Linked DNA regions of Caenorhabditis elegans. The protein of the gene in region 2 purifies or fractionates together with the protein of the main gene of each other region. This does not show direct contact. Each region holds a gene or a part of one and is shown on either strand. Other genes may lie near its edges. The genes, in order: Y47D3A.21 and C11D2.7.

What was found.
Region 1: the proteins of C11D2.7 (region 2) and Y47D3A.21 fractionate together in Caenorhabditis elegans (co-fractionation; one large-scale study listed by BioGRID). This does not show direct contact.

What each region holds. Positions count from the first base shown.
Region 1 is NC_003281.10:11,275,707-11,280,695, forward strand, and holds Y47D3A.21 (Density-regulated protein homolog), read right to left. Parts: upstream 3,212-4,989; 5' UTR 3,211-3,211; coding exon 3,120-3,210; intron 2,691-3,119; coding exon 2,388-2,690; intron 1,262-2,387; coding exon 1,077-1,261; 3' UTR 591-1,076; downstream 1-590. Other genes in the region: Y47D3A.20 (uncharacterized protein), read left to right, coding at 93-214; gly-9 (putative N-acetylgalactosaminyltransferase 9), read right to left, coding at 4,048-4,188, 4,750-4,875.
Region 2 is NC_003282.8:6,153,886-6,157,369, forward strand, and holds C11D2.7 (PUA domain-containing protein), read right to left. Parts: upstream 1,512-3,484; 5' UTR 1,508-1,511; coding exon 1,442-1,507; intron 1,396-1,441; coding exon 1,171-1,395; intron 1,104-1,170; coding exon 837-1,103; 3' UTR 739-836; downstream 1-738. Other genes in the region: C11D2.3 (BLOC-1-related complex subunit 5), read left to right, coding at 341-538, 585-738; C11D2.4 (Queuosine 5'-phosphate N-glycosylase/hydrolase), read right to left, coding at 1,791-1,961, 2,015-2,675, 2,756-2,850, 2,899-3,006.

The DNA.
Region 1 (4,989 bases), on a different chromosome or scaffold from region 2:
ATTTTTTGTAAAATTTTCAAAAAAAATCCAAAAAAAGTGCGCGGCGGACTTGCAATAGGCTCCGCCCATTTATCGATTTTTTTTCTCTACAGAAATGCACGAATACCGTATGTCAAAGCTTCGAGAAAGTCTCAAAGACGCCCGGAAAACCAATTGGATTCACGTGGGAAACGCGTTCCGAGACCCACTTCCACCGCATTCGTCGAAACCTTAATTAAGCTCCGCCCACTTTTTATTGATTTTTTTTTGCGAAAAAATTATTTATTTGTATATCTCTATGCTTATTTGAATCTCATTGTCTATTTGAAATAAATATTCTGAAAATTAAATTTTTTTAGAAATTAAAAAATTATGGAAATTGTGTCCAAGAGGACTACAAAATTGGGATTTGACTTTGCATTTTTCGACTATTTTTTTTGGTAATATTTTCCGAGAGGACTACAAAAGTTAAGCTTTTTAAAAATAGATTTCCTCCAATTTAAGCTTTCTTGTAGTCCTCTCGGACAAAAAAAATTCAAAATTTTTCTGTGGTTTGTCCGAGAGGACTACAAAACTCTAATGTTTAATGGTTGTTGAAAATATTCAAAAAAAAAGTGTAATTTATGGAAATCAGAAAAAAAGAGCGAGAAACATGAAAAATCGATGGAAAAAATCAAATTAATTAGCAGGAAATATGGAATAACCGGAGATAGAGAAAAATTGTAACAAAAAATTCAAAAATTGAAAAAAAAAACAATTTTTTTAGTTGAAAACCTAATATTTTAGTGTATTTTTTAGATTAAACAGTTTAAAACAATATTGATTTTCAAGAAAAAATTCTTAAAAATCGATAATTTGAAAAAAAATTATCGATTGTCAAGAAAAAAATTCTAGAAAAATCGATTTTTTAATTTTCAATTTTTAAAGATTTTTTTTAAAAATTCGATTTTTGGGATTTTTTTTTTTCAAAAGTTGATTTTTTCGATTTTAGAGAATTTTTTTTGCTGTTTAACCTAAAAAAATACACCGAAAAATTGAATTTAACAGAGTAAAAAATGTTTTTTTTTTCAAATTATCGATTTTTCAGCCAAAAAAATTTATCGTTTCTTGTCTCCGAGATCATCAATCTGCTCATCGGTCACTTGCTTCCATTTCTCGGGAATCAAATCCAAAAGATCATCCTTCACATCTCCCTGAATCACAATCTCATCGGCTCCGGTGACTGACGAGCCGCACGCGAATTTCTGGGCGAACAGCTTTGAAGCCACTTTTAGATCGATGTCTGGAAAATGTTTGGAATTTTTCGAAAATTTTTACGAATTTTATATTGTAAATTTCGAAAAAATCAATAATTAAATGATTTTTACTCCAAAAAAATAAAAAAAACCACAAAAAATTTGAATTCTCACTAAAAACTTGTCCAAAAATACTACAAAACTCTCTTAGAGGACTACAAAAATTCAATTTTTATGTCCAAGAGGACTACAATGGGGATTTCGCTTCAAAATCGAAAATACCTTTAAATTTGAAAAAAATCGTGTTTTTTTTTCAATTTTGACAAAATTCCCTTCAAAATGAGTATTGCGACCAATCCGCGATTCACTTCTCCCTTTTTTGAATCTGATTGGTTCAAAAGTGGGCGGAGCAAATCGCTGATTGGTCGCAATACTCATTTTGAAGGGAATTTTGTCAAAATTGAAAAAAAAACACGATTTTTTATCAATTTGAAGGTATTTTCGATTTTGAAGCGAAGTCCCTATTGTAGTCCTCTTGGACATAAAAATTCCATTTTTGTAGTTCTCGAAGAGAGTTTTGTAGTATTTTTGGACAAGTTTTTAGTGAGAATTCAAATTTTTGTGGTTTTTTTTAAGAAAAAAAAACCAATTTTTAAAAAAACATCAGAAATCTAGATTTTAGGTTAAAATTTGTGAAGAACTAGTTTCTTAAAAGCATTTTTTGTCCGAGCGAACTACAAAAGTTGCAAAAAATTTTTTTAAAAAAACTACTTCTTCACAAATTTTAACCTAAAAAATCTAGATTTTTAATTTTTTAAAAATAAAATTGCTGCTCCGTACTAAAAGTGGTTTAATTTTCAAAACTTTTTGTATGTATAAAAACTCCGAAATTTGAATTTTGTAGATTTTTCGACAAAAAATTGGCATTTTGCTGGAATTTTGGTTAAAAACTGCGGTTCTAAAAAAAGAAACAAAAAAAAATTTTGTTTTCATTTTTACCTAAGTTTACGTTTTTGTCTGAAAAAAAAATTACAACAGTTTTTGATTTTTGGTAGAAAAAAAATCCTCAAAAACTCAGCAATTCTATGCAAATTTCCAATTTTTTCTTCCTAAAAAACTGTAAAATTTAATTTTTTTCAATTTTTCTGAAACTCTTCGAATTTTACTCCATACCAAAAGTGGCGAGACCCTTAATAACAGTGACACTCTTCTTTCCACGTGGCTCCCGTTGCAACGTCACTTTCTGTGGTCCACCGCCCTTCTTTTTTCCGCCGGAAGCAGCAGCCTGAGCAGCAGCGGCTCCAGTTTTTGAGCCCTTTCCTCCACGCTTCTGCTTCTTTTTCTCATCACCGTCGGCTGCTGGTTCATCGGAAATTTCAAGACCTTCGAGAAGTTCTGGAGCATTTTGAGTGGCCCAAGCACGACAGACGTCCGTTTGTCCCGAATAGTCACAGTATTCTGGTGGCATTGAGCATTCTGAATAATTTTTTTAGCTTTTTTTTCGAAATTTTCAATTTGGGGAAAAACATTTTGTTCTCGTTTTTTTCCGATTTTTTGTTGCAAATTTTCGCCTATTTCTGCAAAAAAATCTCGATTTTTTCTCATTTTTTTCCTATTTTTTTTGTTCTGCAAAAATCTCGATTTTTTTAAATTTTTTTTCCTATTTTTTTGCAAAAAATCTCGATTTTTTTAAACTTTTTGACGAAAAACTCCGAATTTTGAGTTTTGTAGATTTTTCTGAAACTTTTAAAATAATTTTTATCGAAATATTTGCAAAAATCGATTTATTTTCAGATTTTTCAACCAAAAAAAATTTTTTTTTTCAAGATTGTTATCAAAACAGGACTACAAAACTCGATTTTTTCCCAATTTTTTTCAAACTTTCAGCCAAAAAAATCAACTCACGTCCACAATAAACCATTTTCAATGGATAAGAAACTCCATCAATTGGCCCTGGAGCCAGAGATTGAATAACAGCAGTCTCACCGTCAGACATTCTATAAAAAATCGATTTAAAAAATGGCTCAAAAAGCTAATAAAAATATAATTTCCCGAGGAAAAACGGGATTTTCGGGTAAAAATTGAAAAAAATTTTTTTTTCACCATTTTAACCACGAAAAATGCAAAAAAATGCAATAAAATACAATAAAATCACATAAATACAACGAAAAAACCCAGAAAAACCGAAAAAAAGAGTATCACAGAACAAGAAATTTGGGGAAGCAAAGTGAATTGGAGCCGTAAATTGACTAGGAAACAGGGGAGAAAATTCAACATTTTTTGGCAATAAATACAAATTTTTGTGACCCAACCGTCTTGTCCGAGAGGACTACAAAATCAGAAAAAATTCGAAAAAATTGATTTTGTAGTCCTCGTGGACAAGTTTTTGAGATTTTTTCTCGAAAAATTGATTTCGATTTTTAGGAAAATTAAGATTTTGATTTTTCGCGAAAAAAAACTTCAAAAAAGTGGAAAACTAAAAGAAAAACTTGTCCACGCGGACTACAAAACTCGATTTTTTTTAAAATTTCCTCCAAAAGGAGTACAAAGCTTAATATTCAAATATTCAACGTTTTTAAAAAACCTCGTTTGAATTTAAAATTTAAAAAATATTTAATTTTTCGAAAATTCTGAAAATTGTTGTCCACGAGGACTACAAAACGGCCTAACCGGAGGAAAAAGGAATGGAAAGTAAAAAATTTGGAATTTCAATGAAAATTAGTTAAAGCGTTAAATTAAAAAGAAAAATGAATAAGTTATTATGAAATTTTCAGAATTTTTCCGATTTTTTCAAGAATTTCATCTGAAAATCAGCGGCGGACTTTTTCAAATTTTAAGCTTTCGCCGGATCGATAAAATTCCATTTCTGATGTTCATCCTTTTCATCACATTCGACAACGATTGCATTGTCGCCGGGCTTCAAGTTGGCTGTTGACATGCATTTTCCACTTTTCAGATTTCGAATCATTTTATTCTGAAAAATTCGGATTTTTTAACGGAAATTTGGTCCAATTTTCGACAAAAAAAGTATTTTTGAATTCTAAAAAAAAATTAAAAATATCGATTGAAAAAATGAATTTATCGATTTTTTTGCAAAGAAAAAGTCGATAAAAAATAAGTTCATTGATTTTTTATCGAAAAATTGCAGAAAAATTAAATTTATTCATTTTTCTTTGTAAAAATCGATAAAATTGGATTCATCGATTTTTATTTGCGGAAAATCGATGAAAAATAAGTTTATTGATTTTTTTAATAAAAAAAATCGATAAGAATTGGATTTATCGATTTTTCTGAAAAAATGATTTTTTTAAAAAATCTATTTTTCTATAAAAAAAATCGATTAAAAAAAATAAATTTATCGATTTTTTGAAACAAAAAATGGATAAAAATGGGCTTATCGGTTTTTTAAAAGAAAAATGTCGTTAAAATTAAATTTATTGATTTTTTTTAAAAAGAAAAGTCCATAAAAAATTAAATTTTGATTTTTGAGCGATTTTTTGCGGTTTTTTTCGAAATTTTTCCCATAAAATCTCACCTCATAAGCCCAACGCTCGTTAAATTGTGCTTTTTTCGAGCAAGTTTTCATCCGAATATTTCCATTTTCTTCAGAAGCACACGTATTCTCTCGTCGAAGATTTCCTTCTTTTGATAGGGACATTAGCTGCAAAATTTTGAGAATTTTAGGAATTTTAGGTTTTAAAAATCGCAATTTTCTGTTTTTATGCTGAAAAAAGTGTTGAATTTTTTTTGGCTAAACTGAATTTTCCCAAAATTT
Region 2 (3,484 bases):
GCGCTCCACAGCCAATTAAAACCGCCCCGCCTCCCACAGTTGGGTCTCGTATTAGGTGCCAAGACTGTAAATTTAAACTTTTCAGTTAGTTTTGCCGATTTTGTCAGCTATCAAACATTTTTGTTATTTTTTCTGTTGTTTGTTAAATGATTTTCGTGCCGAATTAATTGTTATAAATGCATGTTTAGGCCAGCAGGAAACACATCAAAATAGACGGAGAATGATTAGAAAATGGTAATAATTATATTTAGAAATCGCTCGAATTTTCAGTTTTCCCGCCAAATACCTAGCGAGATAATATTTGCTCATGTGTACTTTAATGCAAAAATAATTTTTCCAGGAACATTGAGCAGCAGAATAATAAAATCAGTGAGGCTCTTGGATGCTTGGCTGTTTGCAATGAAGTAACCGAGAAGTATCAATGTGCTCTGGACAATTCTTTTCAGGTTTTAGTCGATGATTTCTCGGAGAAAGCCTTTAAGTTGAGCAGCTTGACAACTCAACTTCACGCATTACGACAGACTCATCACGCGAATCAGTAAGTGAAGTTTGTTTTGTTTCGCTCTGATGTTGAGAAATTGCAGGCAAGTTCGCAAAAATGAGGAATCTCAACTGGAAGAAATAGCGTGGCGTATTGAAAGGGAAGAAAAGAGAATCAAGAAACTCGACGGAAAACTTTGGAAATTTTATGAGAATCGAGATGGAAAAGGAAAAGATACAACAAAAGAAAGTGCATGAAAATATAAATTAAATCCCAAAATGGACATATAAAATAAAGATCATCTCAAATTATTGGAAGTCTGATAAAGAGCACGACGACCGGGAATTCGAGCACATCAGTTCAACGATTTTTCAGCCAAGTGCCACAGCCCATCGTTCAAATAATGAAGATTTTCAATTCCGTTTCCTTTATTCACAGATTGAATTTCCTCACTGCTCATTGACATCAAACCAATTGCCAACGCATGTTGCTTTCCTTCAGCCATCACAGCAACCACTGAATCCTTTGGTACGAGAGGAGTGAGTTTAGCTCCTGGCGATGTTAATCCAGGACACATTATTGAAGATCCGTTCAGGATGAATTTGATGGCACCTTTGTCGACCTGAAATTTGAATTTTCATCAATAAATGGAAATGTTGAACCAGGTAAATAATCAATTTATAACCAACCTGTTGATGTGGAAGAATGAATGGATACTTGTGAAGTGTTCTCAAAGTTGGAATGTAATCAGTGTTACGTGTTTTAACAAATCGCACGACACCCAGATGATCGGCGAGCAATTCAATGTGATCCTTGCATTTGATCACTTTGAAATTCTCCTTTTTCGGGAGGATCTCCTCAAGATGTGGCTCCAAGTAGGGGAAGTTCTCGATCAGCTTCTTGCGAATTCCTTTCTAAAAATTTTTATAATTATTAGTTAATTAAAATTAAAGATGATACCTGAACACTGGACTTGAGCTGAGTAGCGCCTGTCACATCTTCCTTCTCGTCGAATTTTTTGAACATGGTTCTTGAAAAAAAATTGTAAGATTTGAACTAAATGAAAACAAGGATAAGTTTAAAAAATTGGTATACAACCAAAACAAAAGAATTCAGCAAAATAAAAACAATGTTAAAATTCATATAACAAATTAAGGCTCAAAGTGAAGTGTCAATGGAATGTGTTAAATAAAGTATTTAAAACCTGTGAAAGAAAAAAAACACGGAATGAAAACAGAAGATGATACGAAAAGCTAAAATCACTAGAATTCACACTAAAAATTAAATACTAATATTTACATATACAGATTTAATAATAAATACAGCGAGTCCTGTGGAACGGGACTTTCTTTTCAACATCCGCAGCATAAAGTCGACGATATCCCCAGACATAGACATCAACTTCCATGGCGTTAACTTCACAAACATCAGAGAATCTTGGATCGGTTTCACGAAGTTCGTTCATCTTGGCGACAATTTCCTGAAAATTTAGCGTTTAATACAACAAAATTTCAGAAATATCTGGAATCTTACATCGCAAACTGCAATAGATGCTCCTCTGAGTTCAACTTCCGCTTTTGATCCATTCTCCAATCGTTTTCCTTCACCCAATTGGCTCAAAAGTTCTTCTGAATAATCCAGAGCACCAAGATAAGCGAGAGCTTGCGGAACACGATAGTCAGCAAACATTGTGATCGTGGTAATATCCTTGAAATTTCCCGCATCATCGTGACCTTGAAGGGATCCATAGACATCCGCAACGAGAATCTGTGCTCTCTTCAGAAGCGAAACTTTTTGTCCGTTGAATTCGGCAAAATCGCGGAAAGAGACAAAGTTTTCGACGATTAATTTCAGCAAAGTTTGAGCGGATTTCTCTGATTTTATAACACAATTATAAAATTGTCCATCGAATTTCTCGAGAAGAACTTTTCCTGAATCATTGATAGCCTTCACTCGATCGTCAAGTAGTGGAATTGAGTGTCCTGAATCGGATTTGAAAATCCTGTCGATTTCTTCTCTGCCAACATTTTTCATCCATTCAGCAGAAAGTACTGGAATTCCGGCGGCTATAGCCTTGTTGACAGCGGCACATGCTGCGAAGTAACCAGTGTAAGCTTTTCCACCCCAGCTAACATCATAGTGATCTCCCTCATCCGGCCAGAATGAGAAATTGATTGTATCCACCAATAATACCCTGAAATTAATTCAATTTAATATGATTTCAAATTTAAAAAGATCAGATTTGAGGAATAGTTACAATTTAAGTTTTCTCACCACTGGACGGCATCTTTATCTCCACTTTTCGGGTGTAATTCCGGCGATAAGAAAAGAGCTTCTTTCAGAGATCCATCTTTTGCAGCTCCGAGAATCTATAAATATTAATCTACATTCATTCAACATTTATTTTTAGGATTTACATGTTCTGCTACTTTTCGAACGCCTGCCTGGTTGATTTTGACGAGATTTCCATGCTCGACGATGAATTTTCCAGATTCCGCAGGACCGAGGACTTCGTCAATAAGCATTTTCTGACCTAAAAAGTGAAAAATATGTGACAATTCTACCGAGTAGTAAAAAATGAAAATAAAAATTTTAAAGAGAAAAACGTGTTTGTTACGACGCTCCGCAGATGTGTCTCTGCGTCTCCTCCTTCTGCACAGTGCCTAGCAAATTGTCGTACGTTAAAGTGTCGTGTACGCAATGCAGACTGAAACACATTTTATTTCTCGACAAAAAATGCTGTATTTTTATATTTAAAAAATTAAAGTCGTCGTTTTACAGCTTTTTCAGATGTTTTAAAAAGTATTTCTTTAACTAAAAATCAATTAAATTACCCACTAATAGTTTCGCTAATAAAAACATTTTTCTTGATTAATCGTACAAAATTAAGGACTACATTGGAAACCTGAAAAGAAAACATCTGAAAAATTTTATATACGAAACCAATAAAAATCTGTTCATTCGGTGAAAGCACAATTAATATTCGTAAAGCGTTTTTGAATA